Linked DNA regions of Diceros bicornis minor. The protein of the gene in region 2 interacts with the protein of the main gene of each other region in a biochemical or structural test. Links are inferred from orthologs where the notes say so. Each region holds a gene or a part of one and is shown on either strand. Other genes may lie near its edges. The genes, in order: ICAM3, MSN and SPN.

Region 1 (10,933 bases), on a different chromosome or scaffold from region 2:
CTCCAGTTTAGTCTCCGCGCTGTGCGCCCCGCGCCTGGTGCTGCTGAAGCTCGGTCCGGTCTCGCCTCCTGAGCTGTTTGGGCCCCGCCCCCTCTTACTATAGAAGGTCACGTTCTCCCGGGTCTCCCGGGTCTCGCCCCCCAGGGTCACGGTGCAGACGATCTCCCGGGTGCCTTCCTGCTCTGCGCTCCATGTGGATGTGGCTGTGGCTGTGATACTGTCCTTGCGTCTCTCGACTGTGTGATTCAGCGTCTGGTCCCCCAGCGCCAGTTCGACCTGGGCCTCGGAGGCCGGGAACAACCCGTCCAGCGTGCAGTTCGCCTGGCACGACGTTCCCACCAAAAACCTGGGGACATCGAGGCGCGGGGGCCTCATGGGCAGGGCTGGGGAGAAGGGTGGGCCTGAGCAGGAGGAGGTCTCATACAGCCGTAGATGCCCCTTTCTCCATGACACACTCATTGCCCCCAACCAGGGTCCTTCTTTCCCAGGATACCTTGCGGCCTGAGTCACCCCCTTCCCAGGACACACTCACAGCCTTCTCAAAGGTTCCCGCGCGGCCGCGGGCCTCCCGTCTGAGGTGACCCCGCCCAGTGGCCAAGGGCATGTTTTCCCAGAAGCTTTGAGGTCCGAGCCACTCTATTCTCAGGAACCCCGCGGCCAAGGCACCCCTTTTCTGGCTCAGCTCATACCCATTGTCTGCAGTCCCTTCCCTCACCGAAGGTTCGGAGCTGCCTGGGGGCCGAGCTGTTCTGGAACAGTCCCAGCCCTCGGGGCCGCAGGTCCAGTTCGGTGCGGCACGAGAAATTGGCGCCGTGGTCCTCTCTGCGGGCCAGCACGGTGGCGTTGACCTGGGTGGCCTCCCCCACGGCCGGCTGCCGGCTCAGCTCCTCCTCCCCGCGGAGCAGCACCACCGTGAGGCTGGCGCGGGGCGCCCCGCCCGCCACCTGGCAGCTCAGCGTGAGGTTCTCGCCCACGGGCTGCCAGGGGGGCAGGGGGGCCAGCTCCACGCGATCAGGGAACCCTATGGTGGGGGGGGAAGAATAGCACTTACCAGCCAGCCCTGCAGCCCCCACCCTAGGGAGTGGAGAGGAGCCGAGGGTGGCCTGCCCAGCGTGGAACTGTGAACTTTGAATTAATAAACCCAGAGGGCTTAAGTCCCTGCCAGGATAAGTGTTTGCTATTGTCCTTAGGATCATGATTATTTCCTGTTTTGTCAGACACCTTGCCAGGCACTGAAATAAAAGTCAGATGTTCTGTTCCCCAGAACCTCACAGTTAAGAAAAAAAAAAAAAAAAAGGAAGAGGAGGTAACGTTTATGACTCCTTTATGAGGTTAATAGTAATCATCAAAATTCCTGTGTATTGAGAGCTTTTCTTAAACTTTCCAGATGTCATCCACCTTCATTCACACAGCAGCCCAGTGAAATCTCCTCTATCATCCTTCCCTTTTACAGATGGAGAAACTGAGCCCAGAGAGGGGAGGTGGTTTGCCCAAGGATGCACAGCCAGGAAGGAGCAGAACTAGGGTTAAAATCTGGGTCTCACAAACTCCAGACTCATGTGTCCACTTGCCTCCTTGATGTCACGTCTAGGGACTCCTCTGGCCCCTCCTCCCAGCTTCTGGCCTGGACTCCGCTAACCTGGGGTACCACTCGTCAGGGCTAGTGGTATGCTGATCATGCCTGGGCTCTCAGGGTGGAGCAGGGGAGCCCTGACCTGGAGCATCTGCCAATTTCTCCCATGGAAATACTCCCACTCTGGCGGATTTCAAGCTACCCAGTGTGACACGGAGTTGGGAATAGATAAGCACAGTGGGGTCTTATGAGCCAGGACCAACAGGCTCCCGCAGAGCACAGACAGAGGCATCTCAGACACGCAGAGACAGGGACACACAGACACACACATAGACACGCAGGTACACACAGGCAGATGTACACGTTACAAAGAAATACACACGGATACAAAGACATACATAGACACGTACTGACACAGACATCCACATATGCTCATACACAGACACAGATATTGACACAGTAACTCACACAGACACACACATAAGTTCATAGGCATTCACAGATACAAACACAGGCACACACAAACATACAGACACAACACATATACAGACACACGTACACTCACACAGACACATACACTCGCGGACACACACGTAAGTACACAAGCACAAATATACCAGCGCACACACAGGAGCCTACGCGATTACACACGTACACTACACTTAATCTCAAGGCTTCCCAAAACAGTAGGCACCGTGTTCTCTGCTATTTCCTAGTCTATTGTATTCTTTTAATGTGTTTTTTTTGTGTGTGTGTGTGAGGAAGCTCAGCCCTGAGCTAACATCCGTGCTAATCCTCCTCTTTTTGCTGAGGAAGACCAGCTCTGAGCTAACATCTATTGCCAATCCTCCTCTTCTTTTTCCCCCAAAGCCCCAGTAGATAGTTGTGTCACAGCTGCACATCCTTCTAGTTGCTGTATGTGGGACGCGGCCTCAGCATGGCGGGAGAAGTGGTGCGTCGGTGCGCGCCCGGGGTTCCGAACCCGGGCCGCCAGCAGCGGAGCGCGCGCACCTAACCGCTAAGCCACGGGGCGGCCCTGTTGTATTCTTTTAAATGCAGAGGAAGTCTGGAAGGATCCATAAGAAACCAGTAACAGGGGGACGCAGAGTCTGGAGAGGAAGACCTAGCCTGTTACAGACAGGGATTTGCGAACCAGACTGCCAGCTGCTCTGCTCGTGGGCTGTGAGCGCTGGCACGTGACTTGACCCCCCGAGCCTCGGTCTCCATATCTGCAATGAGGCTCATAAGAGAACCTCCCCACCCCGGGGCTGTTGTAAGGAGTGAATAAGTCAACATTTAAAACAGTAGCCACAGGGGCCAGCCCCATGGCGTAGCAGTTAAGTGCACTCGCTCCGCTGCTGGCAGCCGGGGTTCGGATCCCGGGCGTGCACCGACGCACAGCTTGTTAGGCCACGCTGAGGCGGCCTCCTGTATGAAGGGGAGGAAGATGGGCATGGATGGTTTAGCCCAGGGTCAGTGTTCCTCAAGAATAGACGGGGAGGATTGGCAGATGTTAGCTCAGGGCTAATCTTCCTCACGAAGAAAAATAAAACAGCAGCTGCTGGCAGCCAGCGCTATACAAATGGAGGCTTGAAATTTACAGCTTTTTATGCTGTTTTGATTTTGGAACCACATGAATTGATTACCTGCCATAAAAGTAAAAGTAATAACTAGAAGATGCGAGATGTCATTTTTGTGTGTGTGTGTGTGAGGGAGATCAGCCCTGAGCTAACATCCATGCTAATCCTCCTCTTTTTGCTGAGGAAGACCGGCTCTGAGCTAACATCTATTGCCAATCCTCCTCCTTTTTTTTCCCCCAAAGCACCAGCAGATAGTTGTATGTCATAGCTGCACATCCTTCTAGTTGCTGTATGTGGGACGCGGCCTCAGCACGGCCGGAGAAGCGGTGCGTCGGTGCGCGCCCGGGATCCGAGCCCGGGCCGCCAGTAGCGGAGCGCGCGCACTTAACCACTAAGCCACAGGGCCGGCCCAAGAGATGTCATTTTAAAAATGCTTGCTAGGACCCAAATAAATTGATGTCACAGCTGCTGGCCTGACATACAGTTGAGGTGTATCTCTCTGTGTCTCTGTCTCTACCTCTGTCTGTCACACACACACACACATATCCAGGTCCAGGCTCTGGGTCAGAGCCCTGGTCCATTCCTGCAAACTCCAGGCCTCTGCTCCCCCTGCACCACTGGCCATCTACCCACCCCCCCGCCACCACCCAAGGCCATTCCTCCCTCCAGGCACGTCCACTCACGGTACACTGTGATGTTAGAAGAGGTTGACAGCTGGAAGCTGTAGCAGAAGCTGGAGCAGAGGATCTGGCTGTCATTGGTTACATTGCTGAGCTGGAAGGCTGCCCAGCGCGAGCCCTGACCCAGCGACTTCTTGGGTAAGAAGGTCTCCAGATGGAAGGATTGAGGATGGGGACAATCTGTACTACAGTTTACCGAGATGGACCCTCCATCAGGTACCACTAGGTCCTGGGGCTCAAATCGCAGTGAGTACTGCCCATGGACACCTGCGGGAAGAGACAGAAACTCTCGTGATTGTTCTGGTGCCCCCCAACCCCCCATCCTCAGGTCCCACCTCATGCCCAGGTATAATGGTCCCCGCCTTCAGGGTGCGTTAGTCTAGTGGGGAAGACGGATGATGGATCAGGAACTGGGGAGAGTTTGGAGGAAGGCCAAGGAAACCCTGATCCAAACTACAGGAGGGAGTGAGTCAGGGAAGGCTTCCTGGAGGAGGGGACGACCATGGCCAGTTTTGAAGGATAAGTAGGCGTTAGCTAAATGAAAGGGAAGCAAGGTCTTGGCAGAGGGAAGAGCATAGGCACACATCGAGGGGCTACATGGAGCTGGGAGAGTGTGTGTGTGTGTGTGTGTGTGTTGGGGGTAGGGAACAAGTTACATGCAGGGATGGCGCCTCGGGGAGCCCTGGAGGCTGCGTTAAGGAGACACAACTTTCTCTCGAGCCCCTGTCGGATCTGAGTTTCAGGAAGTCCTCGAGATGGCCAGGGCACAGGAAGTGGAGAGCTTTGCTTTCTCTGTTCTCTTACCCTCTCTCTACTGACCTCCCGACTCCAGCCTTCCCCAGCTTGACTCTCCTCACCTGCGGGCAGCAGACAGCCGATGAGAAGCAGGAAGACGAGCGACATCCAGCAGGCCCCAGGCAGTCGCCCTGAGGGCATCACAGTAGCCAGCCTGCGGGAGGAAGGCGTCTGGCAGCAGGGAACAGGCGGAGCCGCCCAGGGGACGGAAGTGCAGCCACAGTGGTGAGGATTGCAGAAGTCCAGGGGCTGCCCCTTGCTCAGGCCTGGGGAGGGGCAGGGGGATACTCTGTGACCCCGGGGGTCCAGAGTGGGGGACCTAGGTAGGGCCCAGCAAGGTGGAGGGTGCTGGTGAGTCTCTGGCAGGGCAGACGTCAGTTACACTGCTGGTCCAGAAATGAACTCACAGGAAGTGGAACACAATCAACTTCCTTTGTTCTCAGAACTACGAAGCCTGGGGGGGCCGTGGAGGGAGATGAGACACCTCCTTCCAGCTGAACTTATGGGGGACCTCCAAGCACTGTCCTGGAGGTGATAAGATGAGATTTCAAGGCAACATTTCAGGGGGAAATGAAGGGACTTCTAGGTAGGGCCTCAAGGGGTTAGCATGAGATCTCAACATTCCTGGGGGGCAATTAAGAGATCTGGGGATGATAATGAGGGACCCGTAAGATGAGGGAAGCCATGAAAATGAACAGCGCCCACATTTACTGGGTGCCCAGCTCTGTGTTGACCACCTGAGTGGCTCCTGTAGGCCCTTTCCCTTTGAAGATCTTGGGGCCGCCCATGCCCCGTGTGCAGTGCTGAGGCAGGGAGACAGCTGAAATCTGAACCACTGTCTGTCAAGGATGCTACTTGTAACTGGCCCTGTCCCCTGTCTCATCCTCCCTTGCCTTCCCCTCTGGGCAGCTGGTCCTTTCATCCCAAGAGAAGGGACTGGGGGGTCAGGTGGGCACTCCCACTTCCATCTCTCAGGCCTCTGACCCGCCTCCTGTGCCTCTGATCTGAGCTCCAGAGAGGGACCTTGTGGAGGGCGTCGATAACACCCGGCGTTCATCCACTCTCCCCATCCCTGAGGCCACGCCCCCTCCTGCCTCACCTGGGGCACCTCCCCCCTCCAGTCAACTGCCTGGCCCCCCAGTCCATTTCCTGCACGGTGCTGAGAGAGCAACTAAAACCCAAATCCAAAGTATTTGTAAATAATATATCTGATAAAGGCTTATATCCAGATTATAAAGAAATTCTTACAAGTCAATAACAACAAAACAACCCGATTCAAAAACGAACAAAGGACTCGAATAGACATGTCTCCAAGGAAGCTGTACAAATGGCCAATAAACACACGAAAAGATGCTCAACCTCACTAGCTGTAACCACAGGCCCTCCAGGACCAGTTCAACTGACCCCATCTCATCAAGAGTAATTGAGAGTGGTTTTTCAGGACCTGAGACCCCTTGTGCAGTTCAGGCTGGTGAAGACCACCAGCTCATCAACTGGGCTTGCAAGGATGACCCATAGGTGACCCTTTTGACGTCCAAGGGCTGAAAACTCCACGCTCAGATCATGCTACCGCCACTATTTTGTGAACATGAAGAGCCACGGAGCTTGACCGCGCTTGCGCAGATCATCAGTTACCTCACCTCTGCTCTCCTCCAACCATCTATCTCTGCGCTTCAGACAGCCCCGCCCTTCATCCCATGAATTGTGCCCCAAGCCCTGGATTGGGGAGACAGATCTGAGAACACAGGCCCCTGTCTCCTTGCAGATCAACCTAGCAATAAAGCTGGTGTCTTTTTCCCAAAGCTGATGCCTCAGTAATTGCCTCTTGATGTGCTTCGGGCAAGAGGACCCCAATTTTGTGCGGTAACATAGCCATTAGGAAAATGCAAATTAAGACCACGTGAGATCGCTCTTCACACCTATTAGGATGGCTGCTGTCAAAAAAAAAAACAACAGAAAAAAAGTGGTCCATCCATTCACCCTTAAAAAGAAATGAAATTCTGACACGTGCTACAACATGGATGAACCTTGAGAACATCATGCTCAGCGAAATAAGCCAGACACAAAAGGACAAATATTCTACTCAAATGAAGACACTAGAATAGCAAATTCCTAGAGAAAGTAGACAGTTGTTACCAGGGGCTGAGAGGAGAGGGGAATGAGAAGTTAGTGTCCAGTGGGGACAAATTTTTGTTTGGGAAGATGAAAAAGTTCTGTAAATAATAGTATTGATTACACACATTGTGAATGTTTTTAATGCCACTGAATCATACACTTAAAAATAGTCAAAATGGTAAAATGTATATTATGTATATTTCACCACAGGAAAAAAATGACATCCACCTATTTTGATTTGTATCCAAAATATGAGATGGATTGATGGATGGCAGAGAAATGACAGATACCGCATAATAAGGTAAATTTAGCAACTGGGTGATGGTGGAATTTAGAGATGTTTGCTGTACTATTCTCCCAACTTTTCTATATGTTGGCAATTTTTCAGAGTAAAATGTTGGAAAATAAAATGCATCCCTGATGGATCTGGGTGGCTGTTCATGTCACAACAGGAGGGACAAGCTGACCCTGAGTGTCTCCTGCGGAGAGGGCACAGTGCCCTCTGTGAGTCTTGCCAAAAAATGGAAATTGAACTTGACCATTGGTGGGTCAAGGTGAGGACAGAGGAATGCATTCAAGTCGACCACAAAGATGACGCCACAGCGGAAAAGTCTATGGAACAAACAACCTAGTTTCTTCAACAAGGATGTTGCAAGGAGGAAAAAAAAGAGGAAGACGAATCCAGAACTTAAAGGAACCCGCCCTCCGCCAAATGCAGTGCGTGGATCGTCTGGATATTTCTTTCTTTTTTTTTTTTTGTGAGGAAGATCAGCCGTGAGCTAACATCCATGCCAATCCTCCTCTTTTTGCTGAGGAAGACTGGCCCTGAGCTAACATCTATTGCCAATCCTCCTCCTTTTTTTTCCCCAAAGCCCCAGTAGATAGTTGTATGTCATAGTTGCACATCCTTCTAGTTGCTGTATGTGGGACGCCGCCTCAGCATGGCTGGAGAAGCGGTGCGTCGGTGCACGCCCGGGATCCGAACCCGGGCCGCCAGTAGCAGAGCACGCGCACTTAACCGCTAAGCCACAGGCCGGACCTGGATATTTCTTTGAACAAACTCTAAACAAACACACACCAAATATTTAAGAGACAATTGGGGAAATTGAAACTGAGGCTGCACGATGATGTTGAGGAATTATCATTCAACTTTCTGTGGGCGGTCATGATTTTGTAGTTACTGTTTGTGGTTACATCTTTTCGAGATACTGATGGAAGTTTTGACAAAATGATATATCTGAGATTTGCTTCAAAATGACCTCGTGGCGGGGCGGGGGTGGGGGAGAGTTGAAACAAGACTGGCCACGGGTGTTGCAAACTTGATGCCGCCTGTTGGGTAAGCACAGGTTCATTACATTATTTTCCCTTCTTTTGTATATGCTTTAAATTGTCCGTAATTGAGGCCGGCCCCATGGCTTAGCGGTTAAGTGCGCGCGCTCCGCTGCTAGCGGCCCGGGTTCGGATCCCGGGCGCGCACCAACGCACCGCTTCTCCGGCCATGCTGAGGCCACGTCCCACATACAGCAACTAGAAGGATGTGCAGCTATGACATACAACTATCTACTGGGGCTTTAGAGAGGAAAAAGGGAGAAAAAGGAGGAGGATTGGCAATAGATGTTAGCCCAGGCCAGTCTTCCTCAGCAAAAAGAGGAGGATTAGCATGGATGTTAGCTCACGGCTGATCTTCCTCACAAAATAAATAAATAAATAAATAAAAAGTAGCTGCACAAGGGTAAGCCAAGATAACTTTGGGGAAAAAAAAGAGAGAGAGAGAGAACTGCCTTATCAAATATCAAAACATATTCTAGGGGCAGTGTATTTTCCCGGTTACCAGACAAGATCCTAAATGCCATTCCCATTGAGAATTTTTTTTTTTTTATGAGGAAGATCAGCCCTGAGCTAACATCCGTGCTAATCCTCCTCTTTTTGCTGAGGAAGACCGGCTCTGAGCTAACATCTATTGCCAATCCTCCTCCTTTTTTTTTTTTCCCCCAAAGCCCCAGTAGATAGTTGCATGTCATAGCTGCACATCCTTCTAGTTGCTGTATGTGGGACGCGGCCTCAGCATGGCCGGAGAAGCGGCGCGTCGGTGCGCACCCAGGATCCGAACCTGGGCCGCCAGCAGCGGAGCGCACGCACTTAACCTCTAAGCCACAGGGCCGGCCCCTCCTGTTAAGAATTTGTCCTACAGATACCCTTGAACGTGGGTGAAATGATGTCCGCATGTGGTTACTCACTACAGCACCATCCTGGGCCTGGCAAAGGATTAGAAATGACAACAGGAACCCCAGCGGGGAATAAAGGCAGATAACACGTCAGCGATGACTACAATGAAATCATAAAATAGAACAAGAAAACTGTTTGCCTGGATATGTGGGACCATCTCCAAGACCTATTACATGGAAAAAATAAATCACAAGGATATAGATGAGAGCTCTATATAGTAGGACATGTTACTATTTTTGCAAAAGATGGGAAAGTATAATGTGTACAGATTTCCTTTTATCTGGGTAAAATGTCTCTGGAAACAAAAACAGGAAACCAGAGGCGACAGTAGTGGCTGATGCACAGCGAGAGACTTTCACTGCCTAAGTCAATAATATGTATCCATGGGCCAGCCTCGTGGCCTAGTGGTTAAGTTCAGTACCCTCTGCTTCGGCGGCCTGGGTTCTGGGGTTTGGATCCCGGGGCCAGACCTACTTGTCAGCCATGTTGTGGTGGCGTCCCATATACAAAATAGAGGAAGATTGGTACAGACGTTAGCTCAGGGCTAATCTTCCTCAAGCAAAAAAAGAGGAGGATTGAGGCCGGCCTGGTGGCATAGTGGTTAACCTCATGTGCTCTGCTTCAGTGGCCTGGTGTTTGCAGGTTCGGATCCTGGGCACAGACCCACACACCGCTTATCGAGCCATGCTGTGGCAGGCGTCCACATATAAAGTAGACGAAGATGGGGACAGATGTTAGCCCAGGGCCAATCTTCCTCAGCAAAAAACAAAACAAAACAAAACAAAGATTTATAATTATAATGAATATTTAATTTTGAAAACTGTTATAAAAAGCAAATGTCACTAGAATAGTGTGGAACTGTCTGGTCAGGAGAGCTGGCAATGAGCAAGATTTCGAGAAGGCTTATGAAAAAGGAAATTATTTAACTGCCTTTCACAACACGGCTAACACATAGCCCGTGCCTTTCACAACATGGCTAACACATAGCCCGTCTCTAGTACAACTGGTAAGGAGAAACACTTCAGCAAACACCAGATTAACAATAATATCAAATGTTTATTAAGCAATTGTTTGCATGTCTGTCTGCTAAGCATTTGACATAAATGACCTCATTAGTTCTTTCCATGAGTCCTGCGAGGTAGCAAGATGACCGTCCCCAGTTCACAGTTGAGAACTGAGGCCCAGAGAGGGGATGCCACTTGCCTGAGGTCACACAGCGGGGAAAGAGTGAAATTGGCTGGCTTATCTACACGGCACACGGCCCCCCAAATCTTTTGTTGGTATATTTAACGACTGGTTATTTGGCACCTTCTGTGTTCTACGTGCTGGTCTAATTGCTAGCTGGTCATTTAGAGATGAGCAAATGTTTAATTGTTGAATCTGGATCCTTCTGCATTGTCTTGCTCCAGCTGTGGGCCCCAGGTGAGCAGACACTCACTGAAGAAGCGGCAAGGACCACAGCCTTCAGCAGCAGAACAGAGTCATGGGTCACTTAGTGACAGCGAGACATGCATCATTAGGTGCTGCCATCGTTGTGTGAACGTCATAGGGTGTCCTTACACAAACTCAGATGGTACAGCCTACTCCACAGCTAGGCTCCATGGGATCACCGTCGTATATGCGGTCTGCTCATTCACTGGAACGTCGTTATGCGGCGCCTGACTGTATGAGCTTATGGCCAGCTGATGGAAACGGTGAGCCCTGAGGGGATGGGCCAGGTAAGGCAAAAAGATGGGATCCAAGGGCTCCTTGCCTGTCCTGGGTCCCTTAGGGGCCTGTGTCAGGCTCATGATGACGGAAGCTGCATCCCCTCAAAAGTCATACATGGAGGCGAGGGAGGGCAGAAAGGGTAAAGGGGCACGCGTGTATGGTGACAGACACAACTAGACTTTTGGGGGTGAGCACAACGCAGTCTATACAGAAGTCGAAACATAACGATGTACACCTGAAATTTATATGTTATA
Region 2 (10,638 bases):
ATTAGCTTCTTGGCCTTTCAGCAGAACTACAGGGGGTCTATGCTACTGGTAGGCAGTGAGAAGAAAGGGAGGGAAACCTATGAAGTTTTCAGTGTTTGTCTGAGGCTCTTCATTCAACCCACAACCTTCACAATATAGTCTCATTTGGTTTCTTTCTTATTCCTCAACAAGGGAAGACATATCCATTTCCCCTTCATAAACTCAAGAAGAAATGGCCACGAACACTCATGCCAGTGTTCTTGTCAGAGCTACTAATGAAACAACCCAACTCCCAAGCTAGAAACTCTCCATTATGAACTCAGTACCCAGGAAGAAACAGCACTCCAGAGGTGTAGGGGGACAAGAAGATACATTTTAGCAAGTGCTGTTCAATTTTATATTCCCAGCATAGCCTAGCACACTGCCTGGTACATAGAAAGCACTCAAATTTTGAGGAAAGTCTGAAGGAATAAACATACAAACGGGAGGCTTGAGGCTGTACCATCAAAGCTCTCAAGAACGTCAGTGTTGGAAGGGTCACTAGAGTGTGCCTAATATTAATACAGTTGCCTCATGACAACCTAGAGAGACTGAGGGCCTAAAGAAAAGACTTGCATAAAAGCCCACTTCATTTCGATCATTTTACTGAGGAAAGATGTTCTTCTTATATGGAAAGAGAAAAAGAGAAATCTTCAGGTCAGTGTTACTTGCCATTTCCCAACACCCACCTTCCAAATCAATGGAGTCCTGAGCTAACCCTCCAAGTGACCACTCCTGTACCACAAATCAGAACCTGGAATTGAAAAGTTTTTCAGCTCTATCAAGTGTGAAATGGGAGGAGGGATGAACAGCAAAGCCAGTCAATCATGACAAGACTACCTCCTTCACTTGACCAATAGACTGCTCCAAAGGAGACCACCTTTGTACTATGTTTTTTCTTTGGGGGCAGAAGAGTAGGGTGAGGTAGCAGGGAAAAAAGATTGTGAGTTGAGAAATATACATGATAGTACAAATAGCACATGATAAACTCAGTTCTATCTTTGAAAGATCAGAAACAGACTGTTCCCAACCTCTAATGATGCCAATTTTCAGCCACTCTAACCACGAAAGGCGTAACACTTGTAGTATTGGTAGCCAGATCTTCTCCCCTCTGAGGACCTTGAGTCTAGAAATTCTAGTGAGGGGGACTCTGAGGAAGATACAAAGGGACCCAGACAGACTGTTGCCAAGCAACACTATGAGATCAGAGTTCAGAATAAATGTAGCTGTCATCTCATCTCATCCAGAGAGAATTGGATTTAAAGGCAGGGAGACAGACCAGATCACCTCTAACTGTCTCTTCTAGTTCCATCATTCAATAAAGCAGTCTCCTGAGAGGAGGAAGAGAGAGAAAAGGGGGAACACTCTTAAAACAAGCTATTGTTACAGGCAGCTAGAGAATAATGGAGAGCAGACTAGGGGTCAATACCACCTCTGCCACCCACTCAACAGAGCAACTTTCCTCTCTCCAAGCCTAACATGAGAGATACATAGATTAGTTGGTGCATTCAAGGATCCCACGAAGGCCCTCCTGCCCCACCAGCCTATCTCTGCACAAAGGACTATTCAAGGAGAAACTTAAAGGAAATCCCCAAGATGGTTTCCGCTCTGTTTCTATTATGTACACTTTCACAAAGAGCTGAGTGAACTGGAGAACCAAAGTGAAGAGATGCAGGATCAAAAAGTCACCCTCTCTCACATAACCTCCATTCCTGATCCCTTGCCCCACCCTGAAGTCTGTGGCAGGGCTGGTTCAAGGGTTAAAAGACTTGAGATTCTGCCTCCTATTCACCAAGTACCAATTTAGTGCCACTCGAGTGGCACAAGCAACGCTAGGAATGGCAGGAAAATAAACAGTCCACACAACCCTTGTTATAAAGTTTAGCTGAATGAAGACCCAGAAACTTGCAAATATTTCAAGAAGCTGGGCTCTATATCTGCTCACATGGATAGTCCCATCAATGACCACTTGATCACCTTTCCCCTGACCTGTTGAGCTAGGGCTAAAACCCTATCAAATTGAAGAAGTTTTACCAAGACTGACCCTCTAGCTAAGACCTAGATTCAAGTCCTAGCTTTGCTACTGACATACTGCATCATTCTAGGTCAGTCCCTCCCACTTTGTGGGTCTCAGTTTCTTCATCTATACAAACCAAAAACTCAAGAACACCTTGAAAATTCAAAACAATCTCTTTTTAGGGAATCCAAGAGAGTACCAAAGACTTTGTGATCTAAAAAAAGTTAAAAAGGATGGGGACGGGGAAAGATTTTTTTTTACAACTGTCTTACCATCACCAGAAAGTGTAGATGGCAGTTAATAAGCTTCTCCATTCTGGCTACTAAAACAGACTCAGGAAACTGGCAACTAGAAGCAAAATCCAAGAATTGGTGGGGAGGGGTGCAGAGGGGCATATTTTAACAGATTTAAGGGAGGCTGGGCTGACTAAGGGAGACAATTGGCTATAAAAGTGAAACCAACCCTGGATAGACTGTAGACATGGTTCATATGAACGAACACATTTGCTTCTTCCACTACTCTTTCCTATCTGTCATACTACAGAAATAGCCTAAAGCACACTAGCGAAAAAAGGAGAAGAGACTAAAGGAATTTTCTCCCTCCATCAAAGTTACTAATTGGTATGCAGTGAACTAGGGTGTGCCCCTGGATGCCTAAGGAATGAAAAAAGTAAGAGGAGACACCTTGTAATACCCTCAACTCTCACCAGGAGACCACACAAATGCCAATGTTGGTTACTTTGCCCAAATTATCCACTTTCTTTTATCTGATGACCAGGAAGCTCTGAGAACAGGGTGTAATTTGCTTTGGGCAAGAGAGGGGACTCAACTTCATGAACCCAATCATTGAATCAGAATAGAGGGTCAATGGGATGAGTACCAAAAAGCCTGGACCCAAGTCTTGGTTCTGTCCTCATGTGCCCTTAGGTAGGTCCTTTCCTATAGGCCTAAATATCCCCACTAGTTAAAAAAACAAAAAAAAGAGTTGTACTAGAGAGTCTCTGAGGTCTCTTTCAGGTTAAGATTCTATGCTCCTAACAGGCATAATATAGTTATTTATCCTAAAAGTTGACCATTCCTTGAGCCAAATATCATGGAAAATTCTCCAAAGTTTCCAGTCTATCAAAATTCAGCCCTTGCCTTCCAATTTGATTCATACTTCAGTCAATCTGCATAAAAATACTTTCAGTATTCAGGTACCTTTAATACCCTAGGTCTGACTTCAAACAGCTCATACTCCATTCTGTCTCCATACCCAGGAAAAAGATCATCATGCTTTCGTCTTTGCCACTTTTCACTGAAATGGGATGGTTAAGGCAACTTTGGAACAATTTCCAGGCCCATCAAGTTGCGTTGAAATGTGAGGTATCTCAGAATTGAGAATGAAAGATGCCATTAGAGAAGAGAGGTCATGGGGCAGAGTCTGTTTTCAGAGATCCACCCACCTATTTAGGCAAAGCCACACCTTAAGAGGAGTCAAGGAGTCAACCACAGGGAGATAAACCCAAAGAGAGGCTCCTGGAAGGATCTTTATAATCCTCTGTGTTGGCAGAGACAGTGGGGTTTTTTTTCCCCTCTCTTTTCAAAACCATTCTCTCAGTTTGTGTGTGTGGGAGGGAGGGACAAGTGTGGAAAAGCCCCACATCATAAAACTGTGAGCAATTTAAGAGATGGTAGAAGCACATACTTGTTGAAAACTTGGTGTTTCTGAAGGACGAGGTTCTGGAAAGGCAAGAATGACTTGGCAGTAAGGGTGGAATACAGCAACGTGGCAACCAAAGCTCAGCACACACCCAAAGAACTGGGCCCCCTACTCCTTCTCTCCTCCAAGGACCCTCAGCCATTCTCAAGGCTACTAGTCACTATCTCAGACTAGGGAGAGGGGTCCGGGAGCACTGCATAGCCTAGGCCAGTGCAACAAGCTGCTTGGCCTAAGGGACTCAAGCCAGGGGGGTCACCAGGCCTTCCTGAGCAAGGGAAGGGCCCCAGCGGCCATTTGGCATGACTTGCACAAAAGCAAGCAGGGCTCATTATTCAGGCACACCCCTCCCCCGTCCCTCCCTCCTGGGCATCCGGCCCCACTAGGCACTACTCCCAGGAGGCTTCTGCTCTTCTCATAACAGCCAGTGGGGTGGAGACCAATCCTAGAAGCTACCACCACTCTGGAAAGGTGTGGCCCCACAGGAGAGAATCCACATATCACACAACAGTCCGGAGGGGATAGGAGGAGACAGAGAGCCATTAAGAAATGGGAAGGGCAGGGATTTGGCGAAAGGAGAGGAGGAAGAAACTAGTCTTCTCCCCTAGGAAGTAGGGCAGACCTCTACTCAGTCTCATGTCTAGTGAAATGTTAGAGCTCCTTGGTTAAAGCAAGCAGCTTCGATGAGTCCCTCCACAACTTTCTCCTCCCCTCCTAGTGAGAAACAGCTGGAGCCGCCTGAGGAGGCTGTAGGAAAGGTGAGTGGGGGTGCGGGACCCGCCCTGAGCAGCTCCCTCCCTCCTCCGTGCTTCTTGGTCCCCGTGGCCCCTCCTGGACAGTGACAGCCTTGCCCCAGAAAGGCGCCAATTCCTGGACTGGAGGAAGTGTTCTCCGGACCAGAGTCCTCTCCCCTGTGCCCATGGCCCGTCAGGGGCAAGAAGAGACCTCGGGCTCCCAAGCAAGCCTTCCCTATTGTGTCATCCCAGACGCACGGAACTGGAATCTGAGAAAGAGGCCGTCCCCGCTCCGTCCACACTTCTAGCCCGGGACCCCCTTACCCACGAAGGCGCGCCAGACCAGTACTCCACTCCCGCCCCTACCCACACCAGGCCTTGGCGGAGGGCGCGGCGTCCCGAGCGGGCGGGTGACTGGGCAAACCCCCAACCGTCAGCCATGGGCTACAAGGGTCTGCTAGAACCCCCGGGCCCAGCAGCACCCACCCCCAGCACTCACTGTCTTGGGCATGGTGGCGGCAAAGGCGGTGGAGTTGGCGAAGTTTGGCTGGGCGCTGTCAGGGCAGCGCTGAGCACGCAGTACACACGGCTTGGACTCCGGGGACTGGGGATTCGGATTAGGTCCCTCGCTAGCGTCGGTGCGACTGCTCGGCTTCCTGCTAACGGGCCACGACTTCACAAACTCCACCCAGGAAAGAACCGCCCCCGTCGCGCCACCCTCTCCTTTATGTGACGGGACTTAGGCGCTGCTCCCCGCCCTCGCGCCCGCCTTCTTGTCCGCTGCCAGCCTCGCCCCGCCTAGTCCCGCCCAGCCCAGCTGAGCCAGGCCACATCAGCCGCCTAGGGACCAGAGTGGGCTTGGGCGCCCCAAGGGAGCTCCCACCCCCGACCCAGGCCCACCCTGACCTCGCACCCCCTTCACAGACCCTAGCCCTCCTGGCCATCCGGTCCCCCTCCCAAGCAGGGCCGGACCCTGGGCCGCACTCTGGCAGAGGCTTAAGCAGTCCCAGACTGCAACTTTCCGCTGATGGTGAGCTCACTACCTATTATAACTGCGTGTTCCCGCTCAAGACTCTTAGAAAGTTCTTCCCGTGTGTATCTGAACTCCTTTTCTCTGTGGCTTCCGCCTGTGGATCTCAGCTCTGCTCCCGGAGCCACACAAATCCCCTGCTGTCCCTAACAACTTCTCAGAGGTCTGAAGATCCCATGTCCACCTGAAACTTTTCTTCTCTTGGCTCAACTGCCTCAGCTCCTCCAACATTTCATCCACTCACTTCTGTAGGACTCTATATCCCTTTTCCCACCATATTTCCTCCCCATCATGCTCAATCCTTACTTTCATCAGAATTGGGCTCCTTTTCCCCATATCTGTACTCTAGTCACTTTCCTTCCTTCAAATCTCAGTCTCCACCTTCTTCAAATTAATGCCCTGATTCTTTAGCCTCTCCCCCAACACATTCACTGATTTTCTGTGATTCACTTTTTGATAAGGCTATAATTCCCCCAGGTTAGATGCACCCCCAGTCCACTCCCTTGGGATGTGTCTGCCAGCGTCCTTTCTACTTCTTGTCAAGGTCGCAGAATTACAGAGCAGCAGTGTTCTAGACCGTAGCAGTTATCTTTTAAGTCTGAGTTTTAGTTTGAAAGTGACTGGCCATAGTCGTTTTTTTCTCCTATCCACTAGCAGCTGTGTAGAGGCATGGTCTGAGCATCCTTTGTGAGGTGGAGTGCCACATACCTCAGGGATGATGAGCCAACTTGGGGCAGTGGAAATGATATTAGAGAGGGGTGATCAACACACCTGGCTTCTGATCACCATAGCTTTGTCATTAACTCACCCTGTGACCACTATGTGGCCTTGGTAAGTCCCTTCCCCTTTCTGGGCTTGAGTTTCCTGTTCTGTAACAAGAAAGGGCTGGACTCCTGGGCTTCCAAGGTTCTTTCCCACTCTGACATTATAAAAGGACAAGAAAGGAAGTAGACTCGCTAAGACAATAGATGAGTCTAGCAGGGTTGCATAAAGCCTGGCCTTGCATTTGCACTCAGGAATCAGCAGCCCTATTCCGTGCTCCTCTGCTTTCCCAGCTCGACAGTGTCCATGAGTCAATGTGCCTCAGTTTCTCTCACTGCTGCCAAGCCTCATTGATGTGTGCTAGGGTAAACGAGGGTGCCTGCCCAAATCATTTCCCTGAGCTGAGTGGTTGACTCAAGGAAGAGCAGCACTCCTCAAAAAGCCTCAGCAGCAGGGGTAGCAATGCCAACCAATCACATTCCTTGACATTGCTATGGTCCTTTTCTCCCAGAAGTTCAAAGAACTCACTGATTTCCTCATTCATGTTCTCCTAGAGCCCACAGGGGCCTGGAACTAGGCTAAATGCCTACAGGGGGAAGGAAAGTTAATTAGAGACTCCAGCTTTCATTATTTATTCTGGAAAGTGGAAACCCCCTGTATGTCATTCCCACGTGCCCATGCCAATACCACCCCCCGCAACAAATATACAAGAGAGCTGATTAGGGAGTGACAAGTAGATGAATACACTATTCAAAGGGAAAAGTGGCACAGGAGTCCAAGTGGGGAAAGGGAGGTTAGAGGGTGGGGAAGCTAAGGAAGTTGATGGAAAGACAGGCTGGGAGAGGATGGTTTTGCCCCCCTAGGGAGGAGAAGAGTGGGAAATGGGTGGAAAGCATAGACTATGAGAGATAGCTTAATCCAGCCCCCATTCAAGTCAAGGGAACTGAGGATCAAAAAGAGCAAAGGACTTACCCAAGACCTGGCAACCAGTGTGGGGAATGGATTCAGGGGGTAATAGAGAAGACAAAGAGCTCAGTTAAACTGTTGTGATAATACAAGCAAAACATTTTGCAGGCTAGAACAAGGGGAGTAGTGCCCCCTCCCCCACTTCAGCAGACGGAAGCTGGTTATGGTGATTATGGTCAAGCTGCTGGACATTGCTCGAAGGTTAGACTTGAAACCCCCTGACTAAGATGGACCCATCTCAATTATTCACCTGTCTCCAGAGCAGAACAGAGGCAGCTGAGGTGCTCTCTTGTTCTTCAAGATGGCTGACAAAACACTCCTTTGTTTCCTACCTCTTTGTAAAACACTTCATGCCTATATGGTCAGAACTTCTGATCTCCCCCGACCCCCTACCCTGATCCCATGAGAGTTAGCTCAATCTTACTGGGGCCAGAGTGATCCCCACAATTAGGTTTTCATATGATGAGGTTTATGCCAGTGTTTGGACAGGGAAGACATGGGAATAAGGGCTAAGCATTCCCACACATGTTGGCACCCTGGGTGAGGGAAGTAAAAGGTATGAAGACACCTGTGTTTTTAGAAGAGCTGAATTTGGAAAGTTCAAGGAGGAACAGGCAAGTATTTTTCAAGCAGTAAAGCTAGGTGAGGGCCAGTATGAGCAGAGAGTGGTACAGGGGTGTTCTGGAGCTGGAATCCAATGAAGCTAGGAGCATCTAAATCAGGGAGTAATAAATGCAAAAGGAGAAGATTTGACCTGGGCTTTAGGGTCAGACATGGGGTCCAGGTGGAAAGGCTCAGGATCCCTAGGGGGCTTGGACTGTTCTGGAGCTGAAGTAAGTCTTGATGTCAAAGTCAAGGGAATGGCAAGCAACAACTGCATAAAGCTGATTAATGTGAAAGCCTACACCAAGCTCAAGAGAGAAATGAGATTGGACTTCTAATCACCTCCCACCCAAGATCTAAGCTCACTGCAATAAAGAAGCTTCTGCAGTCTAAATGTCATTCCTTCTTCAGAGGACACAATAGTGCAGGAGAGGCAATACCAGAGAAGAACTAAGTAGGGAACCATCCTGAATCCCAGGGTTGCTTTGGATAAAAAAGCACCCTCACCTCAATCCATTGGATGGTAGCAGTTGAAAGTTCCCCATCATTCAGAACTTTTCTGAGGGCTGCTTTTCATTTTCATCACTATTAGAAAGTCCTTCTTTACATCTAAATTAGATCTCTTTTGCTTCACTCAGCACAATTGCTCTTGGCTGATGCTTGAGAAAGGAATTAACTAAACCTCTGAGGTTACTCTTCTCCTCTATTCATAGAAGAGAAATGTGTCAGAGAGATGAGGACAAACAGTAGCTTGAGGCCACACACTCTGAGGCCTTCTCTCTCTCTTCTTTCCCCTGGGTCAGTAGGCCAAACACTAGACTAGCTGTACCCTTTACACAAACAAGAAAATAGGCAGAAGAATATAGTGATGTCTCCTCAAAGGGAAGAGGTATTCTTGGTAAAATATGACTAAGAGTACAAACTGAAGCAGTAGAGAAATCTTGCTTTTAGCCGTCCTCAATCTTCCACCCTCTTCTTGGAAACAAAAGCTAGGGTTTGGGTGAAAGAGGAGAAGATAACAGTAATGAAGCACTTATGTGCTGAGCAGTGGAGAGGCCATTTCAATATCTAACAAGAACCATTAGAGGTAGAAATGAGGAAATTGAGGCTCTGAGGAGTCAAGTGACTTATCCAAAAGTCACATGGTTTGGTGGTGGTGAAACAGGGATTTGGGCCCAGGTCTTGTGAGTCCAAAGTCTACCTTCTTTCCACCAACCTGACCTGTGAGCTTCTCAGTTCCGAGCCATGACCAGACAAACCCGAGGAAGGAGATGCCTTTTAAGATTCGTATCACCCCTGCATCTCAGTGGTCAGAATAGACAGCTCAAAATAGCGGGTGCGTAATAACAAACAGCAGTGATACAGTGTCTTGCCAATATCAAGTACCTGGGAATATTTATTATTAATCATACTAATGGAGCACAGTGAGAGAGAAGAGTGTTTCCTCTCTGGCTTTTCCTCTAATAAGGCTGAAAGCTTTTCAAGAGCTTCCCCCAGACAGCCAATATCAATTCAATTTGAGCCAGTGTCCTCTTGGAATATGAAATTAGCCCTGCAGAAAGGGTCTCCCAGCCCTGCCCCCAGTAACCAGCAACCAGTGACCAGAGACTACACATATGTGGCCAGTCTGCCTGCAGGGCCCAGAGAGAAAACAGCCCACTGAGCATATGGCCCCTTCATGAACGACCCACAGTTCAAACTCAATACACCTAGAAGGAAACTATCCATCTGTCCACCCCACCCGTGCCTCCCACGGTGACCAGGCGCCTGCTAGGTGCCCGGTACTATGTGAGGCTCTGCAAGGGGTGCTCACCCTCTGCCTCCCCAGGAGCTCTCCTTCCCAATAGCTCTATATCTGTAGGTGATTTTGCTGTTAGCACCGTCCTTTGTGTGCACAACATCATCATCTTTAACTCTCCTCTGCCTGACCCCTGTGATCTGGTCACCAAGCCCTGCTCTCTGTCTGTCCCTCACAGCTTCTCTCCCTCCCCTCTCCACTGCCAGTGCCCTAGGTCAGCCTTCACCAACTCTCCCTGGTCTCCCTACCTCCGGGCTGCCCCACCCAGGCCATCCTCCACATGGCCACCCTCCACACGGGCACTACAGTGATCTTCAGAAATGCAGCCTTCACCTGCACTCAGAGTTATCAAGTGACCCCCTGTGCCCAACACACACACTTAACCTTTACAGCCTTCTCTTCCTCCCACAGCTCCTCGGCACAGCCCTTCCCCTTGAGCCAGGCTACTCTCACCACATGCACATGGCACGGCGTGCTCGCTCTTGTCTCTGCACAAAGCCCTCTCTTGATCTCTCCTGCCCTCCTTTGCTCTCTGCCTCTCCCCAGCTCCTGTAGTGCCCGAGGTCTGCAGTGCTCATCTGGCCTCCCTCCCACATCCTGCTTTGTCTTGTCAACTGCTCCTTTTTTTTCTTTTCCTCCATTCCAGGCTGAGCTGTAGTTGCTCCTGGAAAGGGATCACACTTTGTGTTCCAGGCAGAAGGAGCCCAGCACACTTCCAGGCATATCTTTGGAGCTCAGGACAGGTGGTTCAGCTAGACCAGAGGAAGAGAGGGATCTGCCATTCTCATGCCAAGCCCTGCAGGTCTATCAACTTGTATTATGTCCAATTCTCTAAGGGCTCAAGTTCCCTCTTACACTGCCTCAAGTTTTCCAGTTAGGAGACAAGACCAATGGAACAGAGCCTCCTATTCCTATCTCGTTACTCCTTCTCCCCCTACTCACGACTCACTCTCACTCTTTTCCTCTCTATCTCTTTCTGTGTGTGTGTGTGTGTGTGTGTGTGTGTGTTTGT
Region 3 (10,484 bases), on a different chromosome or scaffold from region 2:
TGCCTGTCCCCATGGACCAGGCACAGGTGGCACAACTCCATGGCGGCCGGGTGGATCCATGACCACTTTCCGCCTCTTCTCCCCCTCATCCCCACCATGAACTGACCCACTAGAGCCCTTTCCCTATCTCCTGCCTCCCCGCCAGTCCAGGCCACATGGCAGTCACACTCCTGCGGTTCCCATCAGCTTGTCTTTTTGTAGGTCAGTCTGTCTGCTCTCGGCCACTGCAACCTCTGACTCAACGACTTCCTCTTTGCAAATTTCCTTTCCCCTGGGGAAATACCAACTGCCGGTGGCCCGTGTGGCCCCCTGGGCTCTGGTCTGGGCAGGACTCAGAGACAGCGCAGGTGGGTCTTGTCCCCTCCTGTCCATCCCAGAGCCACAGGGGAAGCCCCTGGTTCTACAGGCCTGTCACTACTCCTCATTTAGCTCACTCTCATTGATTCCCCTTGGAGAACGGAAGAGGAGATACAGACAAACAAATTAAACATGTCACAGCATCAGCAAGACCCTGCTATTGGGTCTCCTCTCCCCCTGCCTCGTGTTGGAGTGGCAGAGGTTTGAGGAAGGGACACATCTGCTGAGCTGAAGAGCCACACTCGGGTCACACATGCAGTCTTTCTATCAAGCCGGCGTTCTTTATTGGGCTGCAGACAGAGTTTGATCTTCTACTGCCTCCACCCCAGCTGAGCAAAGATGAGGGCACACACGTTCTCAGCGGTTCCTCAGGTTGGCATCTCCTCAGCCTCTGCAGCCCTTCCTGCCTGCCCCCCTCACGCCGTCTGTACTCACCACCACCCTTCACAAACCGCACCCGTGAATGGACCCACATAGGTGCTGGGGCTTCTGAGAACTGCACCTGCTCGGAAACTCCTCTTACCTCTGCCCTTGGGAGGAGAAATAGCTGAAGCCTCTGGCTGCCTCAGTCCGGAGGTGGGGGAGAGTTCAGTGGCCTGGCCCACAGGCAAGCCTAGAGTCCAGGTACTGTCACAGGCACACCTGAGAGCACAGCGAGGTGACGCCACCCAGCCCATGCTCCAGGCTGGCCTGGCACAGAGCACTGGGGCCCAGAGTTAAAGGAGGCTCATGGGCTGACCCAGTAGGACTGTCCTAATCTATGAGTCCAAATGTACTTTCCAGAGTAATCCTAGGGAAGAATGTGCTGGGTTGTCATTTCCTTCTTCCCAGACTCTGGTATCGCTGGGGAATCCTCTGAGAACTCATAGGTCAAGGAAGTTTGGCATTATGGAGAGCCAGTAGCTGGTTTCAAGGACAAAAACATGGAGAAAGAGGTGATTGGGAGAAGTAAGGGTTGATGAGGAAGGCTTATGCATTCAGTCTACAAGTGTTAAGTGGGTGCAGGCCCTGGCCTAGATGCTGGGTGCAGATGCTGGCCGGAAGATCCAAGGTTAAGAAGCTGGATGAGGATTCGGAGTGAAGATGCTGGGTGAAAATCCAAAGGATGCTGGGTGACAATGGGGCTGGAAGTGATGATAGGAGGGAAGGTGATGAAAGCTAAAAATGATTCTGATCTCCAGTCTTGTTATTCACAAGCGCTAAGGGGCCTCCACATCTCTCACTTTTGGCCCACAGAATCGGGGACCTCCACAGCCCCATCTTCGCTGCCGACCAGTGGCTCTTCCTCTCCCTTTAGGCTGGAGGCTGACCCAGGCTTTAGCTCCTCCAGTGCCAAGGAGCCCTCGTGAGACTTCTTTCTACCGAAGAAAGTGGTGAGTGTGGGCCGCCGGCCAGACCCCTCCCCTTCAGGGACCCCAGAGCTCTTGTCGCCCCCAGACACTCTCGTTGTTGCTGTCATGGCCTCCTCATCATTCTCCTGGACTGGCCCAGCCCAGGCATCTACTGCCCCATTGCACTTTCCACCCCTGCTTAGCATCAGGATCCCGGTCCTCCGCTTCTGCCTCCTGCGCCACAGCACAAGTAGTATCAAGAGGACAATGACCACCAGCAGGGCTGCAAGGACAGCCACCAGCAGGGTGCCATTTGTTCCCTGATTTGAGAGCTCACCACTGTTTGCGATTGTGGAGGTGTTTGAGGTAGTCCCGGTGGGTATTTTTACTGCGGAGCTGGGGGAGCTACTGGTCCCCTTGGGGGTCTTCAGAGAGATAGTTGTCATGGCAACAGAAAGTCCACTGGTTCCCTTGGAGGTCTCCAGAGAGCTAGTTGCCATGGTGACAGGGGGTCCACTGGTCACACTGGAGGTTTCCAGAAAGCTAGGTACCCTGGTTCCAACAGTCGTAATGTGGAGGTCCACAGAGCTCATCGTTGGTACCACAGGGCTAGTGGTTTCATTAAGGGTTTCCAGGAGTATTGATGACTTCTTGGTGGAAACTTCCTGGGAGGTTGTTGGCTCAGTTACGGGGAAGCCACTGCTGGCAGCAATGGAAGTCCCGGGAATGGACAGCTCATTGGGTGTATAGGGAATTGAAGAAAGTGGGGAGGTCTGGTACCTGGTGCCATCATCCTTTTCTGAGACGGGGAAGCCACTGCTGGCAGCAGTGGAAGTCCCGGAAATGGACAACTCTTTGGGTGTATAGGGAGTTGAAGAAAGTGGGGAGGTCTGGTACCTGGTGCCATCACCCTTCTCTGAGTCCCTTGTTGTTATAGGGTTGGAGGTCACTGAGTTGAGGTTTGGGGCCTCAGTGTTATATGAGACCAAAGAAATAGGGGAATTTCTGGATGCAGACATCTGCGACATGGTTGTGCTCGCCAGAGTCTGAGAGTTCACCTCTTGGGTCCAGAGGCCGCCAAAGAGGAGGAGAAGCAGAGTCATTTTCATGGCAACAGGCATGAGTAGGAGTTGGGACCTGAGGGTGGGGAAGTTGGAGAAACAGAACACATAAGGATCTGGGGGAGGACCTAACCAGGCCCTCCCCTCCTGCCCACTTCCCTGCCAACTGCCGGGCCTAACTTGAGGTTTAACGGCTTTTTCCACCCTTCCTTTTACTGTTATCAGAAATAACAAGGGAACAGATGCTGGCAGGTCCCCCATCAATTCCATCCCATGGCCCCCGCTCAGGCCTTGACAGCTTGGACTCCAGCAATGGCCATGCCTTCTGGCCTTTCCTGACCCGATTCAGCCCCAGTGGCTCCTGATCCTCTTTTCCCATCACCTATCAGGGTCTTGTCAGGCCACAGGCACGTTCCCAGGTCCACAGAGGCCCCTGCCCCACCAAGTTGCACCCACTTACCAGCTCACTTGTTAAGGGCACAGGGCTGGGGCCAGGTTGCTCCAACTCCTCTTGAAGCTGGGGCGGGACTGAGCGGACAGGGCCCCAGGAGGAAAGGAAGTGGCCCAGGGCTCCACCCACCCCACCCCACCCTAGCATCCTGCTCCACCCGCCCTGTTCCCACAGCTGCCATACCATCTCTTTCCGGAGTCTGAGATGGTGCTAGGGTGTCTGGGGTCTCAGCTGAGGCAGGTGGGGATTGGGGGGATCTAGAATGGGGATTCCTGCGTCTTAGCTGGGGAATGGGATGGCAAGGGGTGAGGCTGGGATAAGGATAGGGGTCAGAGCGGGGGTGATGGGAATGTATGCTTGAGAGCTAAGGGGTGTGGAAGAGGAGATGGGAGGGGGAGGTGGTTTCTTTGCATTTGTGATCCCCAACCTGTTAGGCCAGGAACCAGGGTGGCACTGCCCCAAAAGCTCCCGGGAAGTACCAGGGCAAAAGGAAGCCCCCGACTCTGGCTGGGGGCAGTGAAAGCCTTTTCAAGCTGTGTGTGATCCCTGAGGAGCTCTTGACAACTTCTCAAGGAGCTGGGGGTCACTACAATAGCCCCCAGTTGTGGACTGCATAACTAACTCAAGGTGGTAACTAAGCACTGCATACACTATGATCTTATTTTTGTAGAAGACTAATAAAGATATGGGAATCTACATGGAAAACAGTTTGGAAAGACAGTTTCCAGTCTGACAGACTGGAAAGATGGAAGCAGTCTGGAATTAACCAAGTTTCTTTGGATAAGTATGAGTACTTTATTGTCTTCTCTAGATGGTTGCTCTTTCCTGACTTTCCTCTAATTTGTAAGCTTTGACTTTTGGTGTGTGTATGGTTTTTTGGTTTTGTTTTGTTTTGTTTTTTGCCTTTCTTTAAAAAAAATCAAAACTGATTTTTATATTATAAAAGTAATAATACATGTATGTGATGGATGATTGAAACAAGCCAGTGTCGGAGCCCGGGATCGTGCCCACTCACAAGCCGAGTTAGTCTGACACAAAGACATGAGACCCCGGGTCAGAGACACAGGAATCCATTACTCACCGCACAGCAAGCAGTAAGAGCATTATGTTTGCATTAGTTCCCCCTGCCCTCAAGTCCCACAGGGGTGACACCGAGGGGCTTATCCCACAGCTGAGGAACACTGAGCTTGGGGACTTTCCCTCCTTCCGAGCAGGTGGGAAGCAAGCCTGCTGTTTGTCCTGAAGGGAGACGTTACTTCATCCCTCAGAGTTACTCACTGCAAACACCACCCTGAGAAATGGCCTGGATATGGAGCGGCCAGGACCTTGCATTCTTTGCCTACTATCCAGAGTGTGCAGGGATGCTCAAGGCTGTGGTCCATTGCTTCTCCCAGCAGTCAGGAGAGTATAAAGTGAAAGGCTCCATACCTCCACCACCAGAGAGACACTCCGTAACAGTGGCTGGTATATGCATACGTGCATGTATTTTATTATATTAGATTTTATTATACATACTGTTCTGCACTTTTCTTTTTTTACTGAACAAAAGAAAGAAAAAGAAAGGAAGAAAGGAAACCATTCCATTGTCAGATATTTAAGTTGTTTCAACAATTTGCTACTGTAAACAGAAAAGTAGGAATAATTGGCTGCAAAGTAATTGGAGGTTAAAACAATTTTTTCTAATTCTAGAAAATCGGCAAAAATGTTCATAAGACTGCACAAAGGTCCCCAATTTCCCAATCTTTAAAAAAATCATTGAAGCAAAATTCATTTTTGACAAAATTGTCGTTTCAACCAAATTGCTGCTGACAGAGTTGTATGTTCCTCAGGCTCTCTGTCAGGCCCCGACTCTGGGAAGAGCTGAGAGGCTGTGGATGGGTCCAGGCTCTGGCCTGAAGCACTCAAGAAACAGGGTCTGACCGGACAGACTGTAGAGCCTGGAGTGGAAAGAGAGAGGATGAAAGTATGAACAAGGGGCTGTTGTTGCCCTCAAGACATCACAGAAGACCAATACTTAGAAAACTCTGGTAGCAGTAGCCACGGACTGACACTCACCGTTTACCAGGTCCACAGCCGAAGGTTCTCTGTGTGTGATTCCAGCCGCTTCTCACGGCAAGCCCATTTCACAGGTGAGGAGCCAAGGTACAGAGAGGTTAAGTTACCTGCCCTCGGCGTTCAGAATGGGCCAGACTCAGTGCCAAGCACTTTACATTCCAATAGCATTTACTTTTCAGAACAACCCTGTGAGATACCTCTCATTACTCTAATTTTACAGGTGAGGAAACGGAGGAACAAAACAGCTAAGAGACTTGCCAAGGCTCAGACAACCAGCAAGTTCTAGAGATGAGCTTCAAAACCAGGTTGATGTAAGGGCCCAAGGCCAAAGATAAATATCTCCCAGATAGTACCAGTGTCTGATATTTAATTACTATGCTCCATTTAGAGACATATTTGTGTATTAATAATTCAAATAATAGAATACTTGCTAAAATACGGGCTAGATTCAGCCTTAGAGAGTGTCTAGCAAAGACTTCAGAGAAGCAATGTCTTAAAAAGCTAAAGGGAATAGGGACTCCTCTCCTCTTATACCCTACATGCAATCTGTCTGTAAATTCTGCTATCTCTACCTTCAACATGGGGCCAGCACCTGACACCCAGATCTTGGCTTCTAAATTCCACTCTCCTTGGAGAGGAACCAGGACTCCTTGGAAAATGGCTGATTCCAGGCTGGGGCAGGGAAAGCACAAGATGAGGCTGGAACATCTGTTGCATCAGATATTAAGGAAGTCCTCACAGAATGATGGGAAGCTGTCAAAAGGACAAGGAACCAGCTTAAAAGAATTCCCTCTGGCCAAAGCAGGGAGACTTTGAGCATCAAAACGAATAATGGCATTTTGGATTAACACCTTGAATAAAGAAAGAACCTAGGAGCTCATACTGATTCTGAAAATATTAGAGAGAGACATAGAGTGAAGGAGGAAGCAGGGGAGGTGCAAAGGAGGAAGAAGAGCAGGAAAAGTTCTTTTACAATAGAAAAGCCAGCTAATAATTGTAGAAGGAATGTAGAGTTTAAAAATGACCAGTTTACAATCACAATAATAATAATGGATTCAGCTAAGAATGGGTGTTAAAACCATTCAGTGAAAGTTGGGTGACAAGGGGGGTGCAAATAGGATATTTTTATAGTTTTAAAGTATCTCCCCACAAGATATGTTTTCATTACCAAGGAAAAGTAGCAACTTTACAGTGGAGAAATCTAACGGACACCATCTTAACCAAGTGATCAAAGTTAACATCACCAGTAATGGGGCAAACCAACATCAGGTGGCTCCAGATATAATGTACTGAGAAGGACACAACATCACTTCTGTGGTAATCCTAGCAAAAAATGCAGAACCTGAATCCAATTGTTAAGAAATATGAGGCAAATCCAAATTGAGGGATGTTTTACAAAACACCTGGCCTGTAGTCTTCAAAAATGTCTGTGTCAGGAAGGACAAAGAAAGTCTGAGACATTCTTCCAGATCTTGAAAGAGTAAAGAGATGTGACAACTGGATACAATATGGGATCCTGGATTAGATTTTGGGTTAGGAAAAAAAAAATGCTATAAAGACACCATGGGGATAATTGGCAAAATTCAAATACAGACTGTAGAGTAGACAATAGTACTGAATTAACATTAACTTTCCTGGGCCGGCCCGGTGGCTTAGCAGTTAAGTGCACGTGCTCCGCTACTGGCGGCCCAGGTTCGGATCCCGGGCGCGCACCGGCGCACTGCTTCTCTGGCCATGCTGAGGCCGCGTCCCACATACAGCAACTAGAAGGATGTGCAAGTATGACATACAACCATCTACTGGGGCTTTGGGGAAGAAGAAAAGGAGGAAGATTGGCAACAGATGTCAGCTCAGAGCCGGTCTTCCTCAGCAAAAAAAGGAGGATTAGCACAGATGTTAGCTCAGGGCTGACCTCCCTCACAAAAAAAAAACACAAAAAACATTAACTTTCCTGAATTTGATAAGTATATTATGCTTATGAATGTCCTGGTCCACAGGAAATACATGTTTGAAGTATGTAGGAGTGAAGGTGCACAATGCAGCAACTTCCTCTTAAATAGTTCCACACAAATAATAATAATAATAACAATAATAACATAGGAGATAAAAATAAAGCAGATGTGGCAAAATGAGGTAGTGAAGGAGCTTCCTGGTTGGCGAACACGTGGAGATGAGGGGGGAGTGGTGCCCGTGGAGAGAGCATGGAAGCTCTGCATACCTTGCCCCATACCTTGCCCTCTGCATCTCTTCCATCTGGCTGTTCCTGAGTTGTATCTTTTTATAACAAACTGGTAATCTATTTTAACATTTTTTTAATTTAATTTTTTTTTTGCTGAGGAAGACCGGCCCTGAGCTAACATCTATTGCCAATCCTCCTCCTTTTTTACCCTAAAGCCCCAGAAGATAGTTGTACATCACAGTTGCACATCCTTCTAGTTGCTGTATGTGGGACGCCGCCTCAGCATGGCCGGAGAAGCGGTGTGTCGGTGCGCGCCCGGGATCTGAACCCCGGGCCACCAGTAGCGGAGCGCGCGCACTTAACTGCTAAGCCACGGGGCCAGCCCCTAATATATTTTAACATTTTTCTGAGCCATCATTTTCCTCTATTTAGCACCTGACCTGATATTTGAGAAGAGCTCAACCATGGAATGAAAAAGCAGGAATGCGTGGCTTGCAAATCTTAATTCTCTTCTCAGGTGCTCATAAAAGAAGAAAGAAAGGCCTCTGGTTAGTTAGCCATTAACAAAAAGGCTGAATGGGGTCATCATATTTCCCAAAAGTCAAGAACAAAGAGGATCCAGACAGCCTTCTGAGAACTACGGAGTTTTTAAGATGTATCCAGATGCCATACCGAAAATGTAATTCCACCACCCATCTATTATTTGCTTAGGCGTATAACGGGACATGTTTATTTAGAAAAAAAAAATAGGTAGTGAAACCATGTAAAGAACCTGTGTGTGTTCGTTGTATTATTTTTGCAACTTTTCTGTGTTTGAACTTTTCAAAATAAAACCACATACTAAAAGATAGAAAGATCCAGAACCTGACTACTCTTCTCCACCTTCACTGCTGCCCCTCTGGCCCAAGCCTCGTCTTTCCTCACCTGGAATGTGCACCACTTCCCCTCTGTGTGACCTCTCCTCCTTCGGGATCTTTTTCACAGAGCAGTCAGAGGAGCCTGGATCAAATGTCCGACCTATCCCTCCTCTGCTCTGAACCCTGAGACAGCTCGCACCCCACTCAGGGTAAGAGCCCAAGTCCTCACAATGGCCGATAAAGCCACACCCCATCTGACTCTCCCTCCCTCTCCTGCCCTCATTCCCTTTGCTCCTGCCACCCAGGCCTCCACTTTGTCGCTGTAGAATACAAGCCTTGGGGGCCTCCGTGCAGTCTGTGGTCCCCTCAAATGATTACCTGCTCAGTATGGCTTTGCCTGGCCACCATATTTAAAATTGTGCCTCGTCCTCCTGGCCTGCACGCCCCATCCCCCAGCCCTGCTTTCTCTCCACAGCACTTCCCACTTTCTCATATACCGTGTCATTTACATTCTTGTTTTGTCTTTCTGCCCCCACTGGAACGTAAGCTCCCTGAGCACATGCGTGTGTGTCTGCTGGCTGCTGTGCTTGGTGCACAGTAGGCGCTCAGTGATGTTTATTGGCTCAACAGAGGTTCTCTGGCTGAGAGAAGGAAGAGGGCATCAGGCTGAAGAACTGCCAGCACCAGTGAAGGCAAGGAGGCCTGAGAGGGGCGAGGCGGGGGTGGGAGGCTGTGAGCAGTGGGTGTGCCCGAGCTCTGAGGGCGCCACCCAGCCCACAGACCTCCAGGGGGTCATCGGGGGTCATCAGAGGTCATCAGAGGTGTGCATGCTCAGTAGTGATGCAACCAACTTGTGTTCTGTGAAGGTATTTCTTCCCTCCAGGCCTGCTCCCCACCAGGGTTTGGACTTGCAGCTCTGACCTCCTGCAGGTCTTTGAGGGGCTGTTTCCTGCAGACACCAAAGCACACAAGAGCTGGCGGAAGGGGGCCTGCCCCTCCCTGCCCCTAGGCCCCAGCCCAGGGAAGCCACAGAAGAGGGGTCAGGGCCACCTGAGCTGCATCACCTACTGTCTGAGTGGCCTTGGCTCAGTCATTTCATCTCTCTGCCTCAGTTTCTTCATCTGTAAAATAAGGATAATAATACTACTTTCAAAGTTCTTGGAGGATTAAATTAGATAGTGTGGGGCCCTTAGTAAGAGCCTAATAAGTAATAGCTGATGTAATAAGAGACGAGTTGTTAAGTCTCATTCTGATCCTCCAGGTCAGAACCCAGGGCTACAGGATTGGACTGGCTTCAGGGCCTAGGGCCCTTTCTTCTCATCCACAACCCTCTCGAGGAACAGCACCGACAAGGCGGGCAGCCCTGTCCTCTGGGGAAATTTCCATCTAGTCAGAGAGATGTTTATGTACTAATTTATTCACTGAACATAATTTTTTTCTTAATTTTTATCAAAGTAATGCATATTATGAGCACAGAGGGCTTATCATGCACGGTAGTACTCCTCCCCTCTCCCTCCCAAGTCATGGCCCAGGAAGGGAACCACTTTTAATTCTTTTAACTTATTCTAGTTTCACTTCTTCTGGTGAGTCCATATTCCTAAACAAGATGTTAATTCTGCTATTTTTTGATGTGTTCATTTTGCCTGCCATAAGCTACTCGGCTCCAGCTCTAATAGAAGAGCATTTGACCCACTGGCCCCATCCCACCTCCCAGGTCAGCAACTTCCCTCTTTTTAAGCCCATTGTAAACTAAAACTAAAGTTGTTTTTGTTACTTTAAATAATAGCTCTCTATGGTCATGTTCAGTATCGGTGTCAGGCGCAGCTAGCCGCACGGTAGTTAAGGGAAGAGGCTCTGGCGCCAGACTTCCGGGGCCAGCCCCAGGCTCAGTCACTGAATGCGTAACCCTGGGCAACAAATGAAACCTTCCTGTGTCTCTGGTTGCCCATCTGTGAGGAGAGGTTAACACTAACAGTATCTACCCGGCGGCCTTGTCTTGAGGATTAAATGAGCTAGGATGCAGAGAGCGCCTCTAAGTGCCACGTAAACTGTTGGCTGTTATAAATTCTGATTGTCACTTTGTGGCTTCCCTTCCTTTCTCTCTCTTCTGTCCAATTTCCGTTATGTGCACATTTACTTTTATAATGCTCAAGGTAGCTAATGCTTGCAATCTCTTCTTTGCAGTGCCTAGAG

The links.
Region 1: the proteins of MSN (region 2) and ICAM3 form a complex in vitro, tested with the Homo sapiens proteins (2 studies listed by BioGRID). The link is inferred for Diceros bicornis minor from reciprocal best matches to the Homo sapiens genes MSN and ICAM3.
Region 3: the proteins of MSN (region 2) and SPN form a complex in vitro, tested with the Homo sapiens proteins (2 studies listed by BioGRID). The link is inferred for Diceros bicornis minor from reciprocal best matches to the Homo sapiens genes MSN and SPN.

Annotation. Positions count from the first base shown.
Region 1 is NC_080769.1:8,853,675-8,864,607, reverse strand, and holds the start of ICAM3 (intercellular adhesion molecule 3), read right to left. Parts: upstream 5,040-10,933; 5' UTR 4,770-5,039; coding exon 4,691-4,769; intron 4,101-4,690; coding exon 3,837-4,100; intron 1,022-3,836; coding exon 716-1,021; intron 384-715; coding exon 99-383; intron 1-98. UniProt on the Homo sapiens protein: ICAM proteins are ligands for the leukocyte adhesion protein LFA-1 (integrin alpha-L/beta-2). ICAM3 is also a ligand for integrin alpha-D/beta-2. In association with integrin alpha-L/beta-2, contributes to apoptotic neutrophil phagocytosis by macrophages.
Region 2 is NC_080781.1:59,306,718-59,317,355, reverse strand, and holds the start of MSN (moesin), read right to left. Parts: upstream 5,159-10,638; 5' UTR 4,979-5,158; coding exon 4,967-4,978; intron 1-4,966. UniProt on the Homo sapiens protein: Ezrin-radixin-moesin (ERM) family protein that connects the actin cytoskeleton to the plasma membrane and thereby regulates the structure and function of specific domains of the cell cortex.
Region 3 is NC_080765.1:21,570,342-21,580,825, reverse strand, and holds SPN (leukosialin), read right to left. Parts: upstream 3,295-10,484; 5' UTR 3,210-3,294; intron 2,826-3,209; 5' UTR 2,810-2,825; coding exon 1,577-2,809; 3' UTR 1,570-1,576; downstream 1-1,569. Other genes in the region: QPRT (nicotinate-nucleotide pyrophosphorylase [carboxylating]), read right to left, coding at 881-1,034. UniProt on the Homo sapiens protein: Predominant cell surface sialoprotein of leukocytes which regulates multiple T-cell functions, including T-cell activation, proliferation, differentiation, trafficking and migration.